Linked DNA regions of Astyanax mexicanus. The main gene of each other region encodes a partner of the protein of the gene in region 2 in a complex. Links are inferred from orthologs where the notes say so. Each region holds a gene or a part of one and is shown on either strand. Other genes may lie near its edges. The genes, in order: polr3d, polr3c, polr3f and polr3k.

What was found.
Region 1: polr3c (region 2) and polr3d share a complex: the UniProt entries of both Homo sapiens proteins name them as parts of the RNA polymerase III complex. The link is inferred for Astyanax mexicanus from reciprocal best matches to the Homo sapiens genes POLR3C and POLR3D.
Region 3: polr3c (region 2) and polr3f share a complex: the UniProt entries of both Homo sapiens proteins name them as parts of the RNA polymerase III complex. The link is inferred for Astyanax mexicanus from reciprocal best matches to the Homo sapiens genes POLR3C and POLR3F.
Region 4: polr3c (region 2) and polr3k share a complex: the UniProt entries of both Homo sapiens proteins name them as parts of the RNA polymerase III complex. The link is inferred for Astyanax mexicanus from reciprocal best matches to the Homo sapiens genes POLR3C and POLR3K.

Annotation. Positions count from the first base shown.
Region 1 is NC_064426.1:19,991,557-19,998,599, reverse strand, and holds the start of polr3d (DNA-directed RNA polymerase III subunit RPC4), read right to left. Parts: upstream 3,001-7,043; 5' UTR 2,872-3,000; intron 1,714-2,871; 5' UTR 1,707-1,713; coding exon 1,545-1,706; intron 1,450-1,544; coding exon 1,406-1,449; intron 1,303-1,405; coding exon 1,148-1,302; intron 688-1,147; coding exon 563-687; intron 1-562. Other genes in the region: nitric oxide synthase-interacting protein, read left to right, coding at 4,521-4,590, 5,358-5,463, 6,536-6,617, 6,732-6,867. UniProt on the Homo sapiens protein: DNA-dependent RNA polymerase catalyzes the transcription of DNA into RNA using the four ribonucleoside triphosphates as substrates.
Region 2 is NC_064413.1:36,273-43,524, forward strand, and holds the start of polr3c (DNA-directed RNA polymerase III subunit RPC3), read left to right. Parts: upstream 1-4,227; 5' UTR 4,228-4,387; intron 4,388-5,025; coding exon 5,026-5,172; intron 5,173-5,999; coding exon 6,000-6,264; intron 6,265-6,376; coding exon 6,377-6,583; intron 6,584-7,252. Other genes in the region: rnf115a (E3 ubiquitin-protein ligase RNF115), read right to left, coding at 91-149, 3,304-3,381. UniProt on the Homo sapiens protein: DNA-dependent RNA polymerase catalyzes the transcription of DNA into RNA using the four ribonucleoside triphosphates as substrates.
Region 3 is NC_064430.1:23,772,272-23,779,808, forward strand, and holds the start of polr3f (DNA-directed RNA polymerase III subunit RPC6), read right to left. Parts: upstream 3,010-7,537; 5' UTR 2,883-3,009; coding exon 2,827-2,882; intron 1,533-2,826; coding exon 1,415-1,532; intron 650-1,414; coding exon 582-649; intron 484-581; coding exon 416-483; intron 1-415. Other genes in the region: dzank1 (double zinc ribbon and ankyrin repeat-containing protein 1), read left to right, coding at 5,394-5,502, 5,585-5,738, 6,409-6,514, 6,890-6,941, 7,304-7,404. UniProt on the Homo sapiens protein: DNA-dependent RNA polymerase catalyzes the transcription of DNA into RNA using the four ribonucleoside triphosphates as substrates.
Region 4 is NC_064410.1:60,607,055-60,614,063, forward strand, and holds the start of polr3k (DNA-directed RNA polymerase III subunit RPC10), read left to right. Parts: upstream 1-4,002; 5' UTR 4,003-4,153; coding exon 4,154-4,264; intron 4,265-5,671; coding exon 5,672-5,759; intron 5,760-6,835; coding exon 6,836-6,963; 3' UTR 6,964-7,009. Other genes in the region: snrnp25 (U11/U12 small nuclear ribonucleoprotein 25 kDa protein), read right to left, coding at 23-97, 1,012-1,117, 1,253-1,343, 2,242-2,486, 3,772-3,856. UniProt on the Homo sapiens protein: Core component of RNA polymerase III (Pol III) which synthesizes small non-coding RNAs using the four ribonucleoside triphosphates as substrates. Can mediate Pol I proofreading of the nascent RNA transcript.

The DNA.
Region 1 (7,043 bases), on a different chromosome or scaffold from region 2:
GTCAGTTTGACTAGTTTTTTCAAAACTTTAGCGTATTTTGAAAAGGTCAAAAGGTCATCTGGAAAAACAAAAAATGTGTGAACTTTCCAATTGAACACTCCTGATAAACAATGACAACATGTGGAAAACCTTTGGCACATTCTAACGAATATGAATGAATATTCTACAAACCTCAACAGATTTGTATATATAAAATTAAGCACTGATTATGTTTTAAGGACTCTGATAAACAATGATAACAGATGAAAGCCTTTTGACCATCTCCAAAATGTGACAGTGTGTCCCAAATTGTATTAGACCTTCTGAAACATCACCAACCTTTACTCTAGTAGGCATCATTGTGCCAGTTTGTGCTTAAACTTAGACTGCCGCTTTTGGCTATATTTTGTTTTATTTTTGTTACAATATTATTATTTTATAAAACGTTTCTGGCCTTTAGAAATTATGAAGACAAATAACTTTTAAAAACATTATCCTTTTAATCACATTTCAGTCTGGACTGCCATTGCTAGATATTTAATTATTTCCCTTTTTGGAATTCATGCCCCATAAGCACACTTACGTTGTCTCTTTCCAGTTTGCGCAGAATCTCTTTGGTCTCCTCCTCAGTCTCCCTCTTCTCCTTCTTAATGTTGATGATGGGGGAGGGGCCAGTGTTGGGCGTTTCTCTTGCATCATCATATACACCTAACAAAGAAACAAAAAGTCAGAAAGCAAGAAAAATGCATGATTCTCTTTTACTGCTGAGAACTACTGGTACTACATAAAGTACACATTCGTGCTTCTTTATTTTTCTTTATTTTTAATGGTCAAATGGTTAAATGGCTGACCTTGTATAGTTAGCATAAAAATGAGTATTTAATTTGGCCCAGCCTGTTTATTAATACTAGTTTAAAGCAGTATTATTCTCCTGGGTTTCCCCTACAGTTGTGAAGTGTAATTCACTTCTATTTCATTGCAGTAAATACAAACTGAGTTTTGTGCTCCCACTCATGAACAGGCTGTACATATGCATTTGTTAATAAGCTGAGAGATACACTGTTGGCATCAGAAGTGATAGAAGCATGTGGAAATAGATGGTAGAGTAATACTAAATTTTTTGTGGTTCTTGTCATTGCATTTCCCCCTGACCTGTATTTTATCATACCTCTCCTCTTGGCCATCATTTCCGCAGGGCCCTGCTCAAAGATAGAGTGGGACTGAATGACCTCTGGGCGACCCCGACCTCTGCCACGCCCGTCTCGCTGCCGCCCTCGATCCGCATCTTTCCTTTCTCTCCTGGGTCCCTCATCAGCTTTCAATCTGCAACAAAACAGCACAGCTACTGTAAAGTAAGGCCAGCTAAGGGTCATTATATTACACTGGAAAAGACATTTGATTGCAATACACTCATGTAAAAACTTACTCTTCTTTACTTTTACGACCAATGATGTTAGGTGTGAATGTTTTCTGTGGGGCAGAACAAGAGAGAGAGCACAGTTGCTTAATACACTGACACTGTTTTTTTTTTTTTTTACCAGTGAAAACAATGCAATCTGGTGTACCTTTTTTACACCTCCCAGTGTGAGGTCTCTTGAGCGCATGGTGGGGAGACGACCGGGAGAGAGAGCAGCAGGCAGCCTGCGGCCAAGCACTGAACCTCTGCCACCACCTCCAGGCTGAGGGGTACGGGGTGGTCCAGAATCACCAGAGCCTGGTGTGGCCATTTTCACACTATAATTACATGCAAAATTTGACATTTAATCATTGCTGTGAATTGTTTAGTGCTTTGCATTACATAGTCAGTACGACAACTATTGTTAATATGGTGTTACATGCTGTGTAAAGTACTGCAGATTCATACTAATATTCCATAATATTCCATAATGGTTACTGATTAGTAAATAAAACAGTACACATACAGCTCATCACTGCTGTCCAATGAAAACCTCCATTTCTGTCTGTTTTATGTTTTGTGAATGACTTGAATCCTGTGGATGCTCTCTACACTGTGTAAATAATTATTGATGAATGGACCAATAGAAATGATCTATTAATGTGGAATGAACTCTTATTTTGCATTGAATTCCATGGAAATTATGAAAATTTTTGCCTTTTGCTGTAAAGTCACAGTTTTGGAGGAACTTGTTTTTTAGCGGACAGCGACAATATTCACACAGGATTACAATCAGGTCACTATTACTGCTGTCAGTGTATATATATTCTCAAGTTACTACAGTCATGCTGGAAAACACATTATATATTTATATTGGCTAAACATAAGACACATATACATATTCATGCTATATTAAAATTACTTTAAAGTTATTACTGTCAAACTGTAGATTCATACTGGATTAACAGTATGGATTATCTATACACTTAAAAACTACAAATTCAAGATAATTACATACTGGATCAGAACCTGTTAATTTTCATTGTGATTAATGTCAAACTTCATAACCCACAAACTGCATATTCAAACTGGCAAAATACACTAAATACACACTAGTTTTAACTACTTAAAATACCCAATATCAATAAGCACAAAATCACCACCATTCCATTTTTTTCATTATTATTATTTTTTTGGCTTTGCTATTGTAAGTCCCTTATTTGTGCCTTTTATTTAAAATATTTCCTGACAGCAGTAAGACGCCACCAAATTAACTGTGCAGACCTCGCTGTTTACACTGTTTTCTCACAGGGACTTTATGTAACCGTTCTGCTACAGGTAACTTAAAAGTGCTGAGCGGCTGCAGTTCCCTCCCTCACTGTAAACACATGGCAACACATGGCTAAACTGCCGGCCGCTCAGCCGCTGAACAGGGAGCCGGCGGGCTAGTTTAGCTCATAATTTACTGCCACTGAAGAAAACGACGAGGTATTTACCTGCGAGCTGCCTGCTGTCCTACCTGAGCTCCTCAGAGTTTCCAAATTAAACCAATAAAAATAAATCTCACGAGACACAAGTTAGAATAGGGCGGAGTTTTAGTAACGACACGAAAGAGGAAGTGACGGAAAACATGTCGGTGCGCTCAAATCGGCATTACCCCTACTCCCTGTTCCCTACTCCCTACTACATACTGCCTACTCTCTAGTCCTTTTTCCTGCTGCCTGTTCCCTACTGACTACTCCCTGTTCCCTACTCTCTACCTCCTGTTTCTTCTTGTTGACTACTCCCTACTGCTTGTTTCCAATTCCAATAGTGCCTCCCTACTGCCTAGTCTCTGTTCCTATCTACTTGTTGGCTACTCCCTGTTCCCTACTCTTTACTCCCTAATGCCTATTTCATACTCCCTATTCCCTACTTCCTATTCTCTACTCCTTAATGCCTACTTCTGTTCCTCACTGTCTACTATGCCTACTCCCCACAAACTGTTCCCTACTCCCTGTTTCCTCTCGCTACTCCCTTTTCCACTAGTCCTTACTCCCTACGTTTTATCAGAAGCATTTTTCAGTTGTGACTATTTTCTGCACATTTTCAATTTCCCCAGTTATATAAAAAATACGGTAAATGGAGCGCATGTGTTAATAAATGGTGGTGAATGAAGCTAAATGGCTTATAATAGTGTCTACTACTTACTACCAGTATATTCTTACTGTTTGTAAAGTATATTACAGTATTTTGCTAAAATTAAGCAAAACATTTTTCTACAACAAATGTTTTTGGTAAACAGAGACACTAGCAATACTGCTACTGTGTGATGACTTGTCTGTGAGCTGACGCTGAAGTAACCGCGTACTGGAGCTTTAAAATTATGTGAAACATTTAATATGGTTCCGTGTTGAGAAATTGAGATTTTTCAATATAAAAATATAAACCATTTACAATCTATGATTTGCTCAATTGCTATGAGCTCATTCATTTGGAATCATTCTGGAGTGCCCTCTAGTGACTGACAAACCCAGAACATATTCTCAAGTGGGTATTGTCTTCTGTAAAAGTAAGTTATATCTCTGAGTATATCTGCATTAAATCGATATTTATAAACTATCGCATAATATATTAGCGGTTTTCCACTACATACATTTCAATCTTTTATATATAACACATGTAATTAATATTTTATGATGTGGAGATTTCCTGTCCAATTATGAAGCCTGTCACACTTGTATTTTGAAAAAGCTTTCAAGCCGGTGGGTCACTTCCTATTCCGGCCAGCTTGGCTCGAGGTAAACAAACTGCACGGTTGATATTTTATAAGTACTTTATTTTTATACCTCTGATGTAAAAACAGTCTAAATACTGATAAATTGACGTCTACTATCCCGCTACCTCGAGCTACAGTTGAAGAGCGCACTGTTTCAGTTAGCTGTATTGTCGCTAACCTGGTTGTACAGGAGCAGCTCTGTTAGCAAGCTAAGCTATGTTAGCTAGCTAAACTAGCTGGAGTGTTTGTACTGCTTGGTTTTTTATGTCTTGCTAACGCTAGCTTAACTAGTTAGTTAAACTGTTTTAATAGTGTTGGTTGTGTTGATGGTAGCTAGCTAAGTGTAATCTTATAATTCTGCTTCATTAAAGCCCCTGAAAACCAAACATGACCCGACACGGGAAGAACTGCACTGCGGGAGCTGTGTACACCTACCACGAGAAGAGGAAAGATACAGGTCTGTTTCTGGCTCCTTTAAAATGTGTAAATGTTTTTTTTTCTCTGTTTGCAGCTTTGCACAAATACAGCTGCAGAAACACAGAACGAGTCCAGAAGGTGTAACAGCTCGACCCAATTCACCAATTTATATTAACTATTAAGACTTTTTTTCAAATTTTAAGCTCCCAAATTTTAAAGTCCTAAAAAGAGTCTATGATTCATGATGTGATTTAAACCACAGAATTGTTCACATGTCTGCTTTTTTAACAGTGGACTCCATTATCCTATAATGTAAACAAATCCCAGTTAAGAAAACACTTGCTAATAATGTGAAAAAAGTGAGCTTTAAGAAGACCTTCCTCCCTGTTCCCTACTTTCTACTCCCTACTCCCTGTTTCCTTCTTCCTACTCTCTGTTCCCTACTTTGTACTTCCTACTCTCTACTTCTTACTCCCTGTTCAATACTCCCTGTTCTCTTCTCCCTACTCCCTGTTCCATACTCCCTATTCCCTGTTACTTGTTCTCTACCTCCTACTCTCAGTTCCTTAGTTCCTACTCCTTGTTCCCTACTTCTTTCTCTCTGTTCTCTACTTCCTACTCCCTATTTCCTACTCTCTACTTCATACTCCCTGTTCCATACTCCCTGTTCACTACTTGCTACTCCCTACTACCTATTTCCTACTTCCTGTTCTTTTTTTATAATTTTCACCGCAATTAAAACATGATGTGGGAGCCAGAACTGTCTTCCTGTTTTGTCTTCTGATGGCCTCTGTCTATTCCCTACAGCTGCTTCTGGATATGGAACTCAGAGTGTGCGCCTGGGGAAAGACGCGATTAAAGATTTCGACTGTTGCTGCCTCTCATTACAGCCCTGCAGAGACCCGGTTGTAACGTAGGTGGACTTTCACAAGTTATAAACTTAAACTTAGATACAGCTAAAACAATATATGGGATTTAACTGAGCATGATGTCTGTATTATTCAGTAGTTAATATGTCTGGATCATTAAGAGTGAAATATGTTGTACAGCTATTTTTTAAAATTAATTTACAGCAGTGGAAACAGGGGTTGCATTGACCTCAACACGAAAACTGGCATTTGATGTACTGTCCAATAAACACTAGTGAATCTGCACCTGTAGAATTACGATTAGTAATAATGCCTTAATATGAAAAGTGATCATAATAAAAATAATAAATTGGATTTTTTTTCATCGTTATTTAATTGCACAGCATTTTACTTGCATGCTAACAATTTTATGTATATATGTATATTATGTTGCAACCTCCACATATTTTATATCTCTATCTTCATGTACAGTATCCAAATAAACGTTTGGACACACCTTAAAGCAAGTTAACAGCAAGTTAACTGCACCACAGATAAAAGCCACCTAAATGCTTCACTATTTTGGTTTTTTTAACACTTATGTTTACTACATGATTCCTTATGTTATCCTTCTTAGTCTGGATAACTTCAGCATTCATTTACAATGTAGGAAAAATCTGAATAAGAAGGTGTGTCCAAATTTAGTCAGGTACTCTATATGTCTCGTATATATTTTATTATATATCTATATATTTATGTTTTATCCTTTCTGTCTTTATCTTGATTTTTAAAAGGTTCCATAATTTCAATGAATTATTAGTCTTTATTTAATATCAATAAAAATAAATAATAATTTAATAAATTTAGAATTTATGTTTTAATAATTTAAAACAATTTAGAAACCTTTACTCTAAAATAACCTAAAATTATTAATTAGACAGTGTTTTTTAAATCTTAGCTTTTCCTATGTAGTTTTCTATTATAATACACAATTGAATTCATAATCACTGTCCTGATATTTCTGGGGTTGTTAAACCAAGGTCCTTTTGTAACATACAAATAAACATCAAAAAGACAAAACAAGATAATTCTCTAGGAGATCTAGATCTTTATTCTCATGTGTCTGTTGCTTTACAGTGAAGATGGATTCCTCTATGAAAGAGAGGCAATACTGGAGTACATTCTCCATCAGAAATTGGATATTGCTAAGAAGATGAAGGTTTGTGAAGGCTTTGACTGCAGCTCAACTCTTTACGTTCTGTATATTATACTACAATCCTTACAATATTAGTATTTATCTCTCCCTCTCTTTTATATGCTTCAACTCCCCAAGGCCTACGAGAAGCAGAAACAGGCTCTGAAGAGTGAGGGACAGCTGGAGTCCTGCTCAGAGGAGAGGGAGAAAGTAGAGAAGTTCAAGAAAAGAGAGGGCAGCATTGTCTCCAAACCAATCAATCCTTTTATTTCAGGTACAAGGGGACAAATTCAGTTCATGTTTGTGTAATACACTTATGTACATTTATGACCTCATATTATTTAATTTATTGTCATGCAGAGGAGTCTATATTCAGTGTTAAAAAGAATTTGTTAAATAAAATAACCACATTTGGTTCCCTAAAGATAAAGGTTTAAAGAAGACTTAAGA
Region 2 (7,252 bases):
TTTTACTGCAGGCTGAGGAAGAAACCGGTCCTGCTGGAGTTTCAGCATACCATCAGAGTGAGCGACAGAAAACCAGATTAATCATCTCACCTGGAATCTTCCGTCACCTCCTCGATAAACCCAGAGTCACAACGCGGGCAGATATACTCCTAAACACACAAACAAACAGACATTAGCATTCTCCAAAACTCCGGCAGCAGAAACGCCACGTAAATAACTAAAACTCACCAATTAAAACTAGCTTTATCTTTAATATTTCTCTCTCTATTATTGTAATTAACCAGCAATAAAATACCCATATCTAAGACATTTGTATTTAGTTTGATACTTCTGATACTAAAAGCTTCCTCGAATGAACATCAGTTAATAACAGATGTTGAAAATACTGTATATTACAACACTAGACCAGTTTATTACAGCTGCCTCTTTTACTCACTCTAAACATTTAACTACTATAAACATTAAACTATTATTATGTTTATACGGTAACACATATATATTACGTTTATACGGTTATTTCAAGAGATTCTACACTACTTAAAATAACTACACTCTAATACATTTTTACATTAAAAGCTGAAATGTGTTGCTCTGTAATAATAAAATATACCGGCCAAACATAAAAGAATTTAAAACGAGACACAAATGAAAAACTAATATTAGACCAAATTTTGATTAAAAGTTTACTTAGCAAATAAGAGCTGGCCTGAAGACTCTTATTATGAAGATCACAACAGTGGATTGATTAGCCACGATGACTAAAGGCTAACTGGTGATGCGAACTATATTTCCGATCTAAATTAACCTCTGTTTAATAAGAGTGATGTCGCTGTGCTGTTAGATTAGTAGATCCTGTTGTTTGATTTGATGTGGATTAAATCTGTACAATTTTCTATCTTTCGTTTTTATTATCAGAACTCATGTAGTTTCACTTCTAGTGAACCTTTTATACAGTTACACTATATAAATATCATTTATTTAGTTGCAGTTGTAAATGCTGAAAACTGAAGCTGAATATGTTTTGCCACATTACTAAAAATATAGTTATCATAAATATACCCTGAAACACTGTGATATTATTTTAGGGCCATATTGCCTCCCTGGTGAATATAATATATTATTGTGTTTTTTGTAACAGTTTTGAGCACATTTTGGAATTATGAATAATAAACAGTACGGTAACTGTGGTGAGACACCATGTCTAATAGTGTTTTACACCTGTAGTTGGTTTCTCTGCTCTAAACCTGCTCTAAAGTTTGTTTACTGGGAGAGTTTCTCCCTCGGTTTGGTTTGTTTTCACACAGGTACAAACCTAAATGCAGCAAAGCGCTTCCCAACCAACCACGCAAGCACATTCTCCTCTAATTGGCCAGAGCTGTCTTAGCAAGAAGGTAAATATAGCTAGAAGGTTCTGTGTTCCAGACCACTGTGTTTAGCTGCTCAGTGTGAAGCTGATTTAACACTAAATGCTGGAAATTTGCTAGTTTTTTTAAATGAGATGTTTGTGCAGTAAACACAGTTGCATGGCCGTGAGCATTGAACGCTGCATACACAGCGTTCAATGTCAAACAGCTTGGCATACAGCAGCAGCAAAGATTAGTATTAGTTAATAGCTGTAGTAATTATCTGGGTAATAAATCAGATTAAACTGCACCTGAACCGCAGTTTAGCTCAAACATAAGGAGTATATCTGAATATCGGGTCAGATCACCTTCTCACCAAAAACAGAACCACACCGGAGTTGGTTTAGAGCAGGACAGAGACACCTGCTCTCACGGGTTCACACCAGCCATAAACTGCAACAAGAGTCCAAACCAACCGGAGTCCGTTTTAACTGGACCGAGCAGCGCTGGAGAGAAAAGGCTTCTCAGAGCAGACTTATCAATCTGAGTGTCAAAATACTGCTATATAAAAAAAGTGTTAAAATAAATTTACCATACTTAGATTACAAAAACTTAGATTAATTTATATAAATTAAGGACACAGACTTGCTCGGACCACTGTTCATGTTCACCACTGATTTAACACTATCAGATACAGAACTGTGCTCACCAATATATCCACTGCTACTCTAAACAATACCATTTACTGCTCACATTACATTTTAGAAAAGCTCACAGTGTATAATCTGAGTGTTAAAAATTACTAACTATGACAACACTAAATCAAGCACTTCTGACACCAATCTTCATATGTAAACTATTCCTTACTTACACTGAGTTACTGCAAACAGAATCACATTCTCACACCCATAAAATAAAGACTTTGAGCTAAATTAACTTTAAAACTAACTTTACACTGAACCTGCAAACTTCAGAAAAACAATCTGCTTCCTGTAATGATCATCAGTGACAGGTGTTTACATAATGTACATAAAAATATCAGAAATATGCTTAATATTCATAACATCTTTATTACAATATTTTGTACTGAGATATATGGTGATATGCCAAAAGTTAACCACGAAATACAACACAAACACAAAATACAACACACACGATTGGTCACATTTCAGAGGAATTCCCCTTTAAACTCTTTAATATTTAGTTTTATTTCACTTTCAGTTTGTTTATGGTTTCCAATCAGGATCAGCTGCTTTCTGTGCTACCAGCCCCACACACACACACACACACACACACTTACACAAACAGCTAATGCAGCTGATCCGGATTTCAGGAACTGAATTGTGATCAGTGTAAACTCGGAGAGCGGCAATGTTTTGAGGGTTCTGATAGCTGTGTGTTGTTACCACCACAACAAATCAATAAATTATTTCAACACATATTAAACCGCAATTTAATCCGCATTAAATCCCAAAAGTAAAACAGATCAGAACAGAGGAAGTTCTTTTATATCACTTTCAGTTTAACTGTGGCCTTCAAACTCGAAACCCCCCTAACCCAGATACTCTCTGAACTAACGTTACTGAACTACAGTACCAACTCACTCTCACACCGGATTATATAGCACACAACTATAAACCAGCGGCCAAATCTGGATCTCAGAATCCGAATTGAGATCACAGCAACAGTGGAAACACAGCCGCCGCTGCGAGCCTTAGACCGGGTTACAGCGGAAGGAGGTGAGTTTAACAGCTCGGAAAAGCCACACAAGTGAAACATAACTTAAACCGCTTTATAGTCCGCATTTAAACCCAGAAATAAAGCTGTAAATCCGGTTCTGGTTCAACCCAAAAACAACGGCGCTAACCCGAGCCGAGCTGCCCCAAGCAGGACAGCGGGCAGGCGGCGGCGGCGGCGGCACGAAGCGGGAGGAGAGCGGCGAGCGGACGGCGGTTCTTACCGGGAGTTTGGGGCTCACCTCGCCCTTACAGCAGTGACAGAAGAAGCGGTGCGGAGGAACCGCAGCAGCCTCCGCCATCTTACACACAGGGGGAAGAGGGCCCGAGCGCTGACGTCAGCGCCGGGGCGGGGCTAGGCCCGTGACGCCGTATGTGCCCGTTCGATTGAATTCAGCGAACCGACTCTTTTGATTCTTAGCTTTTTGATCGCGCGCCGTAACCCCCGTTTTCCTACAGGTCGCGCTGTGCTCCTGTTTACACAGATATTATAACTAATTTAATTTAAACTCCGAATTTCAGCTCTTATACGATGCAACCAAAACAACGTTTATTTAATGTTATTCAGGCCCAATCACTTAATTATTTACATTTCCCCAACCTCACTTACATTCAAATACACTTTACTCCTGATTGGGTATTCACATTTTCACATTCTCTTTTTAGAACTGTCTTCTAACGTATGCATATTTATATTATATTTCTATGTCACATCAATCACTTTCGTAATCAATGTCATTGCACATTGCACTTTACTCTGTTAATTATTTAATTAGCATTAGCAACATCTGCACTGCTCCGTTTAGAGATAGATCCTTACCTTGTATAGTTAGGTTTTTATAGCCTTATATATTTTCTGTTCTTCTGTGTTTTGATTTGTCTGAGGATGTTTCTTATTGTATTGTGTTGTTGCTGCTGGATGCCTAAATTTCCTTCGGGATAAATAAAGTATCTATCTATCTATCTATCTATCTATCTATCTATCTATCTAGATATTCTTCTTTTTATTATTATTATTATTATTATTATTATTATTATTATTATTATTATAAACAGCAATAACAATAATACTAGCGATAGTTATTGTTTGTGCGGATTTTTGAAACTGCACAGAATCGGCTGGTGATGGATTTGAATCAGTGAATCAGTGAATCGGTTCTGTAAGCGCGTGTGAGGTGTGTGTAGTAGCCGGTGTGTGTGAGAGGGTTTATAGATTAATCCAGTATTAAATTCTGTAATAATTCAGTTCCTGCCCGGTTTATTAAAGCGGTGCGGAGCAGCACTGCAGTGCAGACCGGAGACCCAAAGGTTAGTACGGCTCTTTATTTACTGGGGAGGCGGAGGGATACTTACCTACAGCCCGAAAGCCGCAGCAGCGCTACCCGGCTAAATCCGCCAAATCCGCCACCTAACTCAATAACTCAACCAACTAACTCAACTAACTCAGCTAACAACTAACTCAGTATCTCAACTAACTCAGCTAACAACTAACTCAGTATCTCAACTAACTCAGCTAACAGCTAACTCAATAATTAAACTAACGCTAACTAACTAATGTAACAGCTAACTCAGTAACTCAACTAACGCTAACTAACTCGGCTAACAGCTAACTCAGTAACTCAACTAACGTTAACTTACTCAGCTAACAGCTAACTTAGTAACTCAACGAACGTTAACTTACTCAGCTAACAGCTAACTTAGTACCTCAACTAACGCTAAATTACTTAGCTAATAGCTAATTTAATAACTAACGCTAACTAACTCAGCTAATAGCAAACTCAATAACTAAACCTACGCTAACAAACTCAGTTAACAGCTAGCTCAATAACTCAACTAATGCTACCTAACTCAGCTAACAGCTAACGTTAACTTAGTAACTTAAAATTGTGTGATTTTAGTGTGTTTATGTGATGTGTGTAAGTGTGTGTGTGTGTGTGTGTGTTTAGATGACGGCGCAGGAGGTGCGGTTGTGTGGGCTGCTGCTGCAGGAGCATTTTGGGGAGGTGGTGGAGAAGATGGGGACGGAGCTCCTGAGGAGTGGAGCTCTAAACCTGAGAGCTTTAGCCCATCAGACCAGCACCCCACTCGACCTGGTACTGTACTCTACTATACTCTACTATACTCTACTGTAATGAGAAATATTTTAGTGGGTGTGGTTTGTACACTACAGGACTAAATAATTACACAGATGATGAATTATACAATCTTTCACCAGGAGGAAAACATGGTGACTTATTATTACAGTACCCTCCCCCTGACCAATCACAGCTTTATTACAGAACATGCTAAGCTAAAGGTTTTTTTTTATTTTTTATATAACTTTATTTATAGGTTTTCACTTTTCACAATTTTACAAACAACAACCCAGATCCCACCCACCCAAGGGTACACAGAACACAAACAATACAAAATTAATAATTAAATGAATGATAATAATACCAAAATAGTAACATTAACAACAAAACACAATAATGGTAAAAACAGTGACAGTGATACCAAAACAAAAACAAAAAGGTCTGCTGCCTTGAGGAACACCTTAACATTTAAGCACATTGTATGGATTTATTTCTGAGTGTCATTTTATAATAAGTGCATGCTAAGCTAAAGTTAATCGACTGGACGTAAATTGTTATACTCCAGAACATGTTGTGCGGTGATGGTGTTTGTGCCGGTCTAAATTCAGATTTTTAGCAAAATGAGCCTAGCGTCTCCTGCTATTAACTAAATAAGCACAGCTCAGAGAGCAGAACTGTGTTGGCTGAAGAATTGTATCTGGGGTTTGAGATGATGGCTGTGTGATTTTGCTCCTGTAAGAACTGTAATAACTTATTATTCACTAAGCTCTGGCTCAGATAACCTTATAGCTCCAGTTAATTGTCTGTAGATTTTTGGTTGAACTTTCCCTTTAATGATCTCCTAGGTGAAGAAGTCTCTGTGTGTGCTGGTCCAGCATGGGATGTGTGTGTTTGGACCGGGCCGCCGGGGTCCCGGGGGTCCGGTGGAGTACACGGCTAACTGTGAGCGTATTCTCTACATGCTGCGCTACCCACGATACATCTACACCGCCAAGAGCCTGTACGGAGACACTGGCGAGCTGGTGATCGAGGAGATTCTCCAGAGGGGTCAGATGACCATGAGCTGCACCGTGAGGACCGTCGCCGACCGGCTGACCCACAGCATGGAGGGTAAGTGTGCGGATGTAGGAGTTTCCAATAAAGTGGCCAGAGAGTGGAAGCACAGGGTAGTGGTTTCTTATAATAAAATTAAACAGTGATACAATTCTGTGTGTGTGTGTAGATGGTCAGAGTATGGAATACAGTGAGGTCATCACTGCGTTTACCCGGTTGGTGGAGACCCATTTCCTGCAGCGCTGCCCTCCAGTGGACAGTATGGGAACAGCTGGAAAAGCATCTTCAGGATCATCGGACGCTTCCGCTGTTCCCCAGCCTGCTCGGCCCGAGACTCACCCAGACTGCTATCTAATACCACAGGTCCACCTCACCGGTCAGTATCTAGAACCTGGTTCCTAAAATTGCTCTTAGTCTATACAAAACCTTTGGCTTTACTAATGATGCCGGGGTGCAGCGTGCTGGATTCACTGCCTCCAATTTTGAAAAGGTTGGGGCAGTTTTGGAAAATATAGATTTTAATAAACCACAGTGTTTCTTCCATTTACTTTCTTTTATTTGTCACAATCACTGGCCTGTTGTGTAATGTAATATAAGGCTTGTGTTGTGCACAGTAAATTTGTAAGTGGTGTTAGTAAATTTAGTAATTCTGTATTGTAGAGTTTGTTGGTGATTAAGTTGTGTAAAGTCATCTCTTGTGGTTTTATTGTTTTTTGTTAAATGACGGTTTTTGATCCAGTGCTGTTTCCACACGGTCCGGACTTTTTCTGATTTGGGGATGTAGATTACAGTTCAGTTGCCTGTCAGCCACCTCTCTCTCTCTCTTTCTCTCTCTTTCTCTCTCTCACTTGCTCTCTCTCTCTTTCACTCTCTCACTCACTTTCACTCTCTCTTTGTGTACTAAACAATTAATCTCAATAAGATGTTTCCTCAGATTTCAGTTGTTACAGTTTTGGGTCTCATAAATAGTTCTGGGGAAAAGATTGTTAAAGGACTTTATGCAACACTGAAGAGATTATTTAGGGGCAATTCTCTACTTAAGGGA
Region 3 (7,537 bases), on a different chromosome or scaffold from region 2:
GTTGTATATCTCCTATTACTAGTGATGCTTCAACACCAGCAGGGTGAAGACTAGCACACGCCTCCTCCAACACATATGAATTCAGACTCCGCCTCAAGTAGCATCACAGCACTAATGCTCGGAGGAAAGCGCAGCGACTCGGTTCTGATACATTAGCTCACAGATGCAGCCTTGTGCTGATCCACATCACCCTAGGAGTGCTGATGGGGAAAGAGAGAGCGCCATCTACTGTACTGTACCCACCCAGAGAGAGCAAGGACAACTGTGCTTACTCGGGGCTCCGGCAGCTGGTGGCAAGCTGCATAACCAGGATTCAAACCATAATAAACCATAATGATATGTATTCAGACCCCGTGTTGATTCCACGTAGCCCCCCAAAAACCCTGACAATGACAATTAGGAGCAGGTTATTTACCTTTATTCCCAGCATCCTCAATAATCTGGTAAACCAGCTTCTCTTGGTTGTCAGAGCCCTTCATTTTACTGGAAACACATAAAAACACATTAAACATCAAAACATGTTGTAAAAGCATATAAATCTTTATATAAATACTCTTTAATAATAAGTTAAAGGCTTTTACCTTGCCAACTGGACATCCTTCAGCCTGTACAACAAGCCATTGCTGTTTCTGAGAAGATCGAGTTGGCCCTGCAGATCATAATGCAAAATTTACTTTAAGAATGTGAACAATTAAATATTAATATTTATTCAGATTAAAACAAATATTTAAATAATGATGATATAATCTTCAAACTAGTGGTGTCATTCGATTAAAAAATGTAATCTGATTTATCATGACAATATTCTGTGACATCCCACCCTGCAAAAACTCATTTTAGGTTAGTGGTTAGCTCCTTTAAACGTCCTTCTGTCATTTATGATGGTCTATTTGTCTCTCTCTCACTGTGTGTGTAATTAAAAACATGATTTTAGGCATAACTTATATAATTTGTTAAATTGATCATTTTAAATGTATTAAAATTAATTAATTATTAAAATCTTTTATACTGTCCTAACTTTTACTGATTCAGGGTTGTATATTATATATATATTATTTTACTGCATATCGTCGCTGTCCAATGAAAAACACTTATCTCCATCCAAAACAGCAACTTTACAGGAGAGAGAAAAAAACATTGTAAACTTTCAATGGAAGTCAATGTAAAAAGAGTTTATTTCAGGTCATTTTGAAGAGTTTCTATTAGTCTGTTCATCAAGAAATTTTGGCACAGTGTGAAGGACAGTTTGTCTGTTCAAATTATGTAGTAAATTAAAATCGACAAAAATGGAGATACTTTTTTTTCATTGGACAGCAAAGATATACAGCAAATATATAAATAAACAGCAAATATATAAAGGCTTGATTTTCCTCCACCAGGTCTGTTAGTACCTGTGCAGGTATTGAACACTCACCACAGACAGCAGCCGGTTGATGGCCATGGCCCGCTGCTGGGGCTCCACATGAGGCAGGTCATTCTGGATCACCTGATCAGTGATGCCATGAGGAAACTGCTGACAGAGCTCCTTAATCCTAAACACAAATCAAATTAATATACATCATCAAGCTTTTTCTATAATTTTCTATAATTTTCTATACATCATAAATGATCCGGTTAGAACCCCTTGTTTTATGATAAGACACACTACAGAGTTATCAAATAAAAACGTTATCGGTCCCAGAAAAAAAAAAAACATGCGTAAAATTATGTAATTATGTAAATTGTTTATATAATTCAAAGTAGAATCTAAAATAACTAGACCTCACCAGGTCCTGTTCTGATTAATGTAGAGATCAATGCTCCAACACAGAGGGTCAACCACAGCTATTCCAATTTTATTCTATTATATTATACCCTAACTATGACTAAGAAGACCAATTTTAACACTCAGTCCTGTTACCTAAATTAGTTCTTAGATCTTATTTGTTTATATTTTTTAAAATACAAATTTTGAGAAAATCACTAGAATGTGATCAGTGTCCACACGCCATTTAGCTATTTTTCATGTTTTTGCTAATTCGATGCTTAATTAACAGTAGTCTCTGCCAGTAACTGGAGTGAGTTCCAGTAACAGGACTGAGTTCCATTAACAGAAGTGAGTTCCAGTAACAGGAGGGAGCGGCAGTAACAGGAGGGAGCGCCAGTAACAGGAGGGAGTGCCAGTAACAGGAGGGAGTGTCTTGAACAGGAGTCATTTTTTTTGTATTTTTTTTAGATAAATATTAATTATTTGAACATGCAGTCTATAGCCATTTCTTTAAAATAAAGACTTTATTGAGTGAAAAATTAAAGGAATTAGTCGACTTATAAACTTTTAAACATGTTTTTAAATGACACGTGAGTTTTGTAACCATCTTCAGATTAGAAACTTGTAAAAAAAAAAAAAAAAGAAGTAAAGCTGCCTGAGTTTGACCAGTACATGTTTGGAATAGTTAAACATGTGTAATATTAGATTTAGAGTTGAAAAAAGATTTAAAAAAATAATAAAAGTTTTATTTGGAAGAGTTACAACAGCAAATAGCACACAATCGGTGGAATAGTAAATATATTTTGCAGGCATCAGAGAACCCATAATAAAATTTGGGAGACTCCCTGGATTTCAATGAAAGTTGGGATCTCTGGTTTATACTGTATGCAATGTAATAAAACTTTTTTTTAACTTTTAAACATGTTTTATTTTATTTGCGTTTTTATTTACTATTCAAAAATTTCTAAAATGTACTGATACACTTGGATCAGCTCTCTTAGAGTCTGGAGAGTCTGAGAACCTGCAGGTTTCAGTGATCAGACTTTAACCCAGGGCTGATCTCGCCTACTGAAACTCACCTGTTCTCAATATCCACCGGATCCGGATTCTCCTTCTTCACCTTCACATCCCCCATCACTGCTGACCGATCAGAACCTGGGTTCTAGATACAGCAGAACATCCAGATCCTCTCCACATTTACAGCACTGTAAACACAGCAGAAACAGCGTGCCGCAGGTGTACTGTCCAGTAATACTACCCGTCGATATGTGCTTCTAAACCGCACTGCGCATGCGCTGAACCATATTTTAAACGTTTTCTTTATGTTTTAATGTGTTTTTAATCTGCTTGACAGCTACAAAACTGTAAATTGCAATTTAAAAAGTAAATTTGCAATAAAAAAATATTGCAAATAATAAACTATTAAACAATAAGTCTTTTAAAAATATTTTTTTGACCATAACGTTACCTGATACAGTAATTTAACCTATATAAATATCCTACCTACACTTCTGCGGGAGATAAAAATATAGTGTTTTTTTGTGTATTTTATGTTTAAATATACTTTATTTAAAGCACGGTTTGGCAAAGTAACACAATTTGACAAAACACCGGGTCCTTCCCCCTCCCACAGCCTGTTCCGCTCGGTTTAGGAGTCTCACGGAAAGCCTGTTTAAAAATGAACTGCTCAGATAAAAGCGTATTTACAGTTTATTTTTAATAATAAAAAAGCAGTTCTCGTTCATGTCGTCTCTATTTAAAACAAAAACAAAAAATAAACACGAGAAGCACTGTAAAACCAGCTGGACGCTTCTTAACCGCACTGCGCATGCGCCCAATCATATTTTTGTAATGTATGCGTATGTTTTTAGAATACTTTTGTTTTATATCTGTATGTTATATGTATATGTATATATGTATATTTAATATATATATATATATTACCAACTATCTATCTATCTAGCTGAATAGAGATGTTACAGAGACTGTTCAGAGTCTATCTGCTGTTGGATGAACATTCAAGAACAATACCGTAAAAATAATATAATATAATAATGTTTTTATTTGTAAAAGTATAAAAATTGTATTTTTTTACTGTTTTAAATGAATAATAAACAAATATACACTTTGAAAAAAAATGTTTTTTATTCTGTGACTGACATATAAGCTAAGGTCGTTTGCCATTGGCTGACACGGTTGCTAGGGGCTACGCGCTGGACCAATAGCAGCGCGTTTTGCTGTGCGGTGTAGTTGATGGTTGTTGCAGCGGTGGATACGGTACACATGCAGGAGATCTGCAGCCTGAACCCGGAGCACAGGTACAGGTGAGGAGCTGAGCATTGCTAAAGACCCGCACCTGGATTAACACCTGTATTCCCTCAGGATCTGTAATTTACTGCAGATCTGAGGCTTATATATCTGTAGAGAATCTGTAGAGAGGAGATTCCGGGTTTATCAGACACTAGAGGGCGCTCCTGAGAGAGACAACAATTAATGGTTTATTTGGAGCAACTGAGAAAAAAATTGAATTTATCATTTTTAAAGCTTTTACACTACAGGTATAAACATTTTAAAGTATACTAGTGCATCTCAAAAAATAGAATATCATTGAAAAGTAACTTTATTCCAGTAATTCAGTTCAAAATGTGAAACTCATATATTATATAGATGTATTAAACACAGAGTCATCTATTTTAAGTGTGTATTTATTGTTGTTAATGATTATTGCTTACAGCCAATGAAAACCCAAAAATTAGGATCTCAGAAAATTATAATATTATATATTAAGACCAATTAGTACTTTTAGCAGTGTGGGCAGTGTGCCAAGTCCTGCTAGAAAATGAAATCTGCATCTCCATAAAAGTTATCAGTAGCAGAGGGAAGCTGTAAGATATGAAGTGCTGTAAGATTTTGTGGGAAAACAAAACTGCACTGACTTTGGACTTGATATAACACACATTTTATTCATTTATTTTAATTTAAACATATATTATTAATGCAATAAGGTATTATAAAGAAATAAAATTTAATTATATAATTGTATTTTCATTTAATTATCTTGTGGAGTGATGAAGCATTACGTCTAATCAGAGGGCAAATCTTAGGGGGTTTAGAGAGCCTGTGTTTTTATAAAAATAGTGATATTTTACACCATATATCAATAATGCATTGTAAATGATTCAATATATTGCAATAGAGATTTTTTTTTCATCCCATCTCTACTATTGGGACCCATAATAATAAAGCGCACTGCACATGCGCCCAACCATGTTTTTTATGTTTTAATGTGTTTTAACAATCATTTCGTTTTCCTTGTGTGCATTAAACCACCTGCTTGAAAGTTACAATACTGTAAATTGCAATTTAAAAAGTAAATTTGCAATAAAAATATTGCAAACAATAAACTATTAAACAATAAGTATTTTTAAAATATTTTTTAGACCATAACGTTACCTGGTACTGGTAATTTAACCAATGTAAATATCCTACCTGCACTTCTGCGGGAGATTTTTTAAATATAGTGTTTTTGTGTACATTTAAAAAAATGTTTTAATCCTTCATGGATGCTGTTGTCTTCATTACAGAATATCAGAGCGTATTATTTGGAGCGCTGGTCCCTCTGAACAGCTTCACCCTCTGACTGATAATGACTGCAGGCTCCATCACAGCTCCGTTCATCATCCCCATCCGAGTGCCGCCTCCTGGTAAAGCCAAGCATGAGATAGACACCAGCACACCTGTGGAGATTAAATCAGGTGGGGATGAGTTCACTGTTTTCCTGCACTGATGCAGAGCTACTGTATGAACTGTATAATTAAAGGGTTTCTCTGGTTTCAGACTCTCCTGATGTGAGTGTTTTCTACACGCTGGACGGGAGTAAACCGGAGGTGTTGAGGAGGCCGGAGGTTAGAGGCAGCAGCACCATGACCTACAGCGAACCCATATACCTACCCAGCGGGAAAGTGTCTGTGAGAGCGCTGGCCGTCACCAGGTAGAGGTCCAACTCTCTCAAATATGCTCAAAAATCATATTAAGATGCATTTTTTGATAACCATTGATTTTAAGCTCTATCTGGATGGGATCAGTTTCTCAGGGGGTTTTGGGGTAATTTTCTCTTTTATGGGGGTTTTTATCTTCTGTGATTTTATACCTGTCCAGAACGATCATGTACGTGTTTTTCTCAGTCGTCCTCTGAGAAAATTACAGGCTGAATTATCTACTGTTTTTCTCTGTCCCGTCCGGACGCACATCTCTGAGTTTCATCTCCTCGCCTTTAATAAAATAGCTATTTGTCCACTGCCGCGCACTGTAATTACACTTTAATAAAATCACAGAGGATAAAAAAAAACATAAAAGAGAAACTAATGCCGTGCGGATAGGGCTTTAAAGGTGGACTAAACTGTTTGGGAGGAGCACTGTGTGATGTATGGGTTTAGAGGCGGGGCAGGAGGCAGAGCTGATTGGCTGATCGGATCTATGGCGAGCAGAAACCAAACTCTTAAAGCACTAAGAAACTTACAACATGTTCTTTAGTACGGTTTAGTATGGAAGTATTTAGTACTATGCACCTTTTGGGTGTAACCAGTATTTGCTGTATTGTATATGTGCATTATTGTTAAGCTTCAGATTGACAGACAGGTTCTTCTCGTATTTCTCTGCAGTGATGGTCGGCAGAGTGCTGTTGTTACTAAAGTCTTCGTGGTGGAGCAGATTCCCTCCGAGCTGCAGGACTACGAGGAAAACCAGCTGGATTCCTCCACCCAGCAGGTTTTTTAATTTATATATATTTTTTTCACACTTTTTACAGAATCCCAGCTGTCGAAGTTTGGGCTGTAGAAGAAAATAATTATTCTATTAACTTAAAACACGTTAAAACACATTTACATTTAAATCTACACAAATCAGTAAAAAAAAACAGTCCTGTGATTGATCCTGTGTAGCGTATTGAGAATTTGTAATGTTTATTAAAAAATAATGTCTTTCCTTACTATTATTTTATATTATTTAGCCAAAAATGTTGTGTAACAGGGTAGTTAAAGTGACACTTATTCACGTTTTAAGTTTATTGTGCTTCTAAATGTGACTTGTGTCTTGTTGTTTAATAATTTTGTTTAATTTAAGTTAAATATGTATATTTAACAGAATCATACCTCCTCTCCGAATGGAGATGCAGAGGCCTCTGGAAAACACTTGGGTATGTTTTTGGGCTTAAAAATCCAGCTTGTTTAGCCACCTATGCTAAACCATTAGCTTTCATAAACGTTAATAATTATTAATATGTTTTATAATTATATTAGTTGGCTTAAAAAACTCCCAATTAAGCGTAACTACAAGTAAATACAACAGCAGCTTTAGTTAATCCATTATTTTTTCAATTATTGGTTGTTTTTAAAATCACAAATATAAACAGAAAAAGGAGAAATAAAGTAAAAGTAAAAAAGCTTAAATATTGTAGAGGTCCAGCTAGTTGCTTCCTCAGGACTTTTACAAAAAAATGTATGATTTAATTATATTAATAAATATTTTTTATTTTTTTATTTTATAAATTATTTTTAGATAATTCTTTCAGTGGATCCCGTCGGGTTCGAAAAGGCCCTCGGTTTCTTTCCCAGCGATTAAACTCAGCATCTGGGTCCCAGCCCACAAAACACACACAGGTTAGTGTTCTGATGCCGATGTTTTATTTTTTGATTAAAGCCAATTTATACTTCATCATCAAAACTAAACGTATCCTGTTGCGCACGTCCCAGAAATGTACCTACACAGACACCGTAGGCAGCTGCATAGGGC
Region 4 (7,009 bases), on a different chromosome or scaffold from region 2:
GTGTGCATCAGTGTGTACTCACTCCTTCAGTTTCCATTTGTCCTCCTCTAGTCTTTCTCCATTAAATACCAAGTGAAACGTCCTCCACACATATTTCCTTCCACATAGAAATAAAAAAAATAGAAATAAACATTTCTGATACTGTAATTTACACAAGACATTAAACGAAAAGTCATTTTATTATTAAATTGATTAATTTTAATAAATACTAGTTTATCTAAAAAAAATAGAATATCACTGAAAAGTTACTTTATTTTAGTAATTTAGTTGAAAACGTGAAACTCATCTATATATATTATATAGATGTATTAAACACAGAGTGATCTATTTTAAGCTTTTATTTATTTTATTGTTGATGATTATGAGGATTACAGCCAATGAAAACCCAAAAATCAGTATCTCAGAAAATTAGAATATTATATAAGAACAACTGGTACTTTTGGCAGTACTGTGGGCAGTGTGCAAAGTCCTGCTGGAAAATGAAATCCGCACTTAATAAAACACAGTGCAGATGTCATGTCTCTTTATCCAAACCATCACTGATTGGTGGAAACTTCACACTAGACCTCGAGCAGTTTGGACTGTGTGTCTCTCCACTCTTCCTCCAGACTCTGCTCCCTTGATTTACTTTAAATGAAATGTAAAATTTACTGATGATCAGTGATGGTTTGGAGAGACATGTCTGTCATCTGCTGGTGTTGATCCACTGTGTTTTATTATCAAGTCTAAAGTCAGTGCAGTTTTGTTTTCCCACAAAATCTTACAGCACTTCATGCTTCCCTCTGCTACTGACAACTTTTATAGAGATGCAGATTTCATTTTCCAGCAGGACTTGGCACACTGCCCACACTGCCAAAAGTACCAAATGGTCTTATAATAATATTCTAATTTTCTGAGACACTGATTTTTGTTTTTTTATTGGCTGTAAGCCATAATCTTCAACAATAAAAGAAATAAACACTTAAAATAGATCACTCTGGATCACTAGATGAACTGGTATATCAGGTTTACCAGCTGATGTGTTTGATGCCTCCTTCGCGCTGCTGCTTCAGCTCCATGTAGCGCTGAATGGCCTTCTTCAGATCCAGCACTGTAGCAGACTGCACCACCACGATGGCTGATTGAAAATTAAACTCAATCCATTAATGATTTTTATTGTACACTTTAAATTTTACAGAATAAGACTTTATCATTCAAAGCATCCATTACAGTTTATTCCAGAAACAACACCTAAACACATAAATTAACTTACGCATGATCTCTCCATCAGCTTTACACACTCGAACAGTCATGGCCTGCCCGTACTCCAGAGCCACCTGAGAGTTCACCTCCTCCAGAGTCACCTACAGGAGAGAGAGGATACAATTAACATCAGATCATATTTATTAGATCAATTAAATATGGTTACAGAATGTTCTATTTAAATGGATTCTTTATTGTTACAGTACAGTGTGTGCCTTATTCACTAACCACAAATTTAGAACAATAGGTAGTGCTTTATGTGTCCTTTTATAACAACATTAAATACTGTAAAACATGGTGGCGGGTGCATCTGTCCATGTGACAGTGTCGCTTCACAAACCTCAGTAAATAGACCATTATATGTAACAATACAATTTGAAATCCCAGTGGCTTAATAGATAATTTTTTCCAGAATCTCACTAATGTCTCCTGGACATTTTTTCATTGCAATTCTATTCATTGACTTTAATATACACATATTGGAATCCTGACTGTTTTGCAACTTCTTGGCACTGTATTGCATTAAAGGTCTCATTCCATCGTTTTTTTTATTTTTTTATTTTAATATGTCTGTGGTCTCTAATATGAATGTAAGAGCTGTTTTTTGGGTAAATAAAAAAAAAATAAAAAAGTGCTCCACTGATCTGGTATAACGCTGCTTTAGTCCGGTGGAGGAGTGGGCGGGGAGAGGCTATAGGATTTCAGCTCTTGCTCATGAATATTCATACATGCAAACATATCGCGGCTGATTGGCTAACAGCACTGCGACACCAGGAGGCAGCAATACGGACAACATTTTAAAATAAAGAGATTTTTACACTAATAACAGTCTTTGCAATGTCAGATTTGGGAGAAATGTTGTCTGTAGTTTATAGAATAAAACAACAATGTTCATTTTACTCAAACATAAACCTATAAATAGCAAAATCAGAGAAACTGATTCAGAAACTGAAGTGATCTCTTCATTTTATCCAGAGCTGTATGTCCCCTTATACACACCTGTATAGGCAGATCACACAGTAGAGGGTCCTGCACCATCATAGCCAGCCCTTCCTCAAAGATGTCCAAAACTTCTGAATGAGGCAGCGCCTCCTCATCTTCCTCTTCCTCTTTTAAAACGTCTTCAGCACTCTTCTCCATCATTTCAGTCTCTAGCATGTTTTCTGTCTGTGGTTCTGTCTTTAGGTCTTCTTCTTCCATTGTGGTCAATACTTTAAGGGGATTGCTAATCTGATTCTGGTCACCTGTGGGCAAATACACAACAGATAATATTAGAGATTATAGATTATAATTATTTATTAAATGCTTTTATAAACGATTATACGGCACATTCTAGAATTAGGGCTACATTTTTCTGTTACCTCTACAAATACAGTACCAAAGTCTCAAAGTTCAAAATTTGAACACAGCTTCTGATTTAATGTTTTTTTAATTATTTTTTTAAAGAAAGAAAACACACAAGGAATCATGTAGTAACTTAAAAGTGTCAATCACACCAAAATACTCTGTGAACATTTAGGTGCTCTTATCTGGGGGGCTGTTAACTTGTAGTTTCTGAGACTCTCTTGCTCTTTCTTTATTGGGCGGTCCTGATGAGTGCCAGTTTCATCATTACGTTTTTTGTGATTAATGTGGTTACGTTTTTTCTTTATAAATCATTGGTTGTTCAGATCAGCATTTCTTTCTAATTTAGTTTAAATAATTATTGAGCACACTTTCTGTAAATCCTATAAACTTTATTTCACTTTTCAAATATCACTTTGTTTGTCTGCTATATGAAATATTTAACTGAAATTGCTGATCCGAACAACCAATGATTTATAAAGGAAATTCATGAAAATTATTAGGGGTGCCCAGGGCAACATTATGTCTTGCAACTTAACAAGTTAAGAAAAAAAAAAGAAATAAATAAAAATATTATATATATATATATATATATATATATATATATATATATATATATATATATATATATATATATATATATTTAGTCATAAAAGGAAAACAAAATAGTCACAATAATAATAAACACACTGAAATGATAATACAATAGTCAACAGCAAGCGTTTTGTTGCCTGAAAGCAATACCATGCCATAAAAAGGGGTTAAAACCTGCTTTTTGCATTTTTTTTAGTTCACATGTGTCTGATATTAAAGTTTGTACAAATTAAATATGCAAAAAAAAGCAAAAACGAAAGAAAAGCAAAAGTAGGTGGGTAAATAGTTTTTTCTCTGCACTGTATTCACACTGCATCATAACTGCAGCGTTAAAACACCTTCAGCAACTGATTTAAAATATTTTAATACACAGCAATTTTGGGATTACTGACCAAAATGTTTGTAAATGAGGAGAAAAGCAGATAAATGAGCTAAATTAACCACGTTAGAGAGGAAATATGAGTGTTTATTTTTACTCAGGCCTCACTGGGTGTCTATAATAGATTTATATTTCTTTATTATCCTTAATAAATCGCTTTATAAGTGAATTAAATCAGAATAAACTGCAGCACAAACAAACACAGCACTTACCGTGTCCCCGCGTTACAGCGCCGGCCGGCAACACGCAGCTATAATATCTGAACCTGGGTCCAAAAGAACAGAGAAACTGGATCATACAACAGATTAACAACACGTTTAAACAAGATAATGTATTAATACGTGTTAAAACTGTATTAAATACTGATAAACTGCTATAACTGGTATGATTTTACAGTAGTTTAATCTGTGCTGTTTTTCAGACTGTGTGTTAGTCTGTGTTGTTTCCAGTCGGACTCGTTACTGAGGAGCACTGCTGTAGTTAGCACAGATAGCAGGAGGAGCTAACCGTGAGAAATATCCAGCAATTCTGCTGGAATTAGAGCATTAAACTAATTTATAGAGTTATATAGAGTTAGTATAGAGTTATATAGAGATGCTGCTGTTCTGTCCGGCCTGTGGGAATGTGTTAATAGTAGAGGAAGGGCAGAAATGTTACCGGTTCGCCTGCAATACCTGCCCTTACATTCACAACATCACCAGGAAGGTAAATCTATATATTACTAATATTATTAATATTCAGCTCTATATTAGTAATAAAACCTGTTTAATAAGGATATTCTCTATTGTTAGATCCTGTTCATTTCTCTAATCACTGAATTTAACCTATTTAATCCTGAATTTACCCCAAACACGTGTTGATTTAGCAACCTGCAGTTAAGTTACTGTTTTGATAAATAGTATATAGTATATTATATAATAGTATAGTAAAGTATATAGTGTAGTATAGTGTATAGTATATAATAGTATGTTATGTAGTGTATTGTATAGTAAATAGTACTATAGTATTGTATATAGTAGTATAGTATATACGAGTATATTGTAATATAGTATATAATAGTATAGTATATAGTAGTATAGTATATAATATAGTATATATAGCAATATAGTATATAATAATACAGTATATAGTAGTATAGTGTATATAGTAGTGTAGTATATAAAAGTATATTGTAATATAGTATGTAATAGTATAGTATATAGTAGTATAGTATATAATATAGTAAAGTGTATATGTAGCAGTATAATGTATAATAATAACACAGTATTTATTAGTATAGTGTATATAGTAGTGTTGTATATAAGAGTATATTGTAATATAGTATGTAATAGTACAGTATATAGTAGTATAGTATATAATATAGTAAAGTATATATAGCAGTAAAATATATAATAATACAGTATATAGTAGTATAGTGTATATAGTAGTGTAGTATATGAGTATATTGTAATATAGTGTATAGTATATAGTATAGTAAATTATATATAGCAGTATAGTACATAGAAGTTTAGTATATAATAATACAATATTTAGTATAGTGTGTATAGTAGAATAGTATATAATAATACAGTATATAGTACAGTATATAGTAGTATAGTGTATAGAAGTACAGTATTTAGTAAGTGGAAAAAAACAAGTAAGGTAATTTGTGTTTAGTTGGTTATATAATATTCTTTGTCATGCAGCTGAAATTGATTAGCTGAAAATATAATATACAATAGATTTGTAACTGTATCTCAAACTTATTATCTTTTTTATTATTTTACCCCATTCAAATTTGCACTGCTAAATTATTACATACCTGTGTACCTGCACTGTCTGTATGGCTGACATCTGTCCTCTTCTCAATATGCACAGCAAGTGTCCCTTAAATGTTTAATCAACGTTCATTTTTCCATCACTAAAAGGTTGACCTCCGTCATCAGAACTGATTTGTTTGTGCACATTGATTTTATGTTGATTCAACATTGATTAAACTTTATGGTTTTATATGCATGCTTTGTATTAAAGTTCACATTTGCATTTAAATGTGTATATATCGTTTGTGTTATATTCTTTTTTTATTGATTACCATATTGATGTGGATGTTTGTATTTTATTTGTTGCTTTCAGGTGAATAACAGAAAATACCCCAAACTGAAGGAGGTGGACGATGTTCTCGGGGGAGCTGCTGCCTGGGAGAACGTGGATTCCACAGCAGGTAAATATTGATGATCAATAAATGATTAAATAAAGAATTAACATATGGAAGATATGGCCTGGATGTTTATGATGATGTCTAATTTGGGTGAGTTAAGCGCTTCTGTTTATTTACAGTAAGCTTAGATTTCCAGATCTCCACAAAGGCTGGGTGCAGCAGCATTAGCATTAGCAGCTAGCACTAGTAAATGCTGCCCGACAGCACTACACTGAGGAACCCTGAGTGTTCCGGTAGGCCCGTTTTAACACGGCAAACACGCTGACTACAGACTGATATACTCTGCTTTGAACTACAAAAGAGCTAGCGCTTAGCTTGGTTAGCAGCTAGTGCTAATACTGCTGGAGAACTAAACTGAAACTCCTGTATAACTCTGTACTTCAGCGGAGAGGCTTTACTGCTCCTTAATACCTGACTGATAGAATTCATACATAAGGAGCACTTTTAAGTGTTAAGGATTTTAAGCCTTACAGTGTGAACAGTATCAGTAACAGTATATTTGATTTTAAATATTATGTGTATTTTACTAGAATTTCTAATGATTTCTCTGTGATTCTGATCCAGTTTGCTCATGTTTATGATGAATATTCATATATATTTATTTATCAGAATGTTTAAATCGCTTCCGTTTATTTACAGTAAGCTTAGATTTCCAGATTTCCACTAAAGCTTGGTGCAGCAGCATTAGCATTTGTGGCTAACCACTAGCGCTAGCAAATGCCTCCTGACAGGGCTACACTGAGGAACCCTGATTGCTCACGTTTATGATGAATATTCATACCTATTTATTTATTAGAATATTTAAAGCGTTTCTGTTTATTTACAGTAAGCTTAGATTTCCAGATTTCCACTAAGGCTGGGTGCAGCAGCATTAGCATTAGCATTTGTGGCTAACCACTAGTGCTAGCAAATGCCTCCTGAAAGGGCTACACTGAGGAACCCTGATTGCTGACATTTATGATAAATATTAATACATAATTATTTATAAAAATATTTAGATTGAGGGCAGGAACAGTAATAAAGTAAGTTGCAGTAAATAAACTTTATCATATAACTTTTTCCTGTCTTTTAATCTTCAGAAACCTGTCCGAAGTGTGAGCACCCGAGAGCGTACTTCATGCAGATTCAGACCAGATCTGCTGATGAACCCATGACCACCTTCTACAAGTGCTGCAGTCCACAGTGTGGCCATCGCTGGAGAGACTGAGCCGGCTGTGGATCTGTATGGACTGACTATTTATGGATCCTGTATC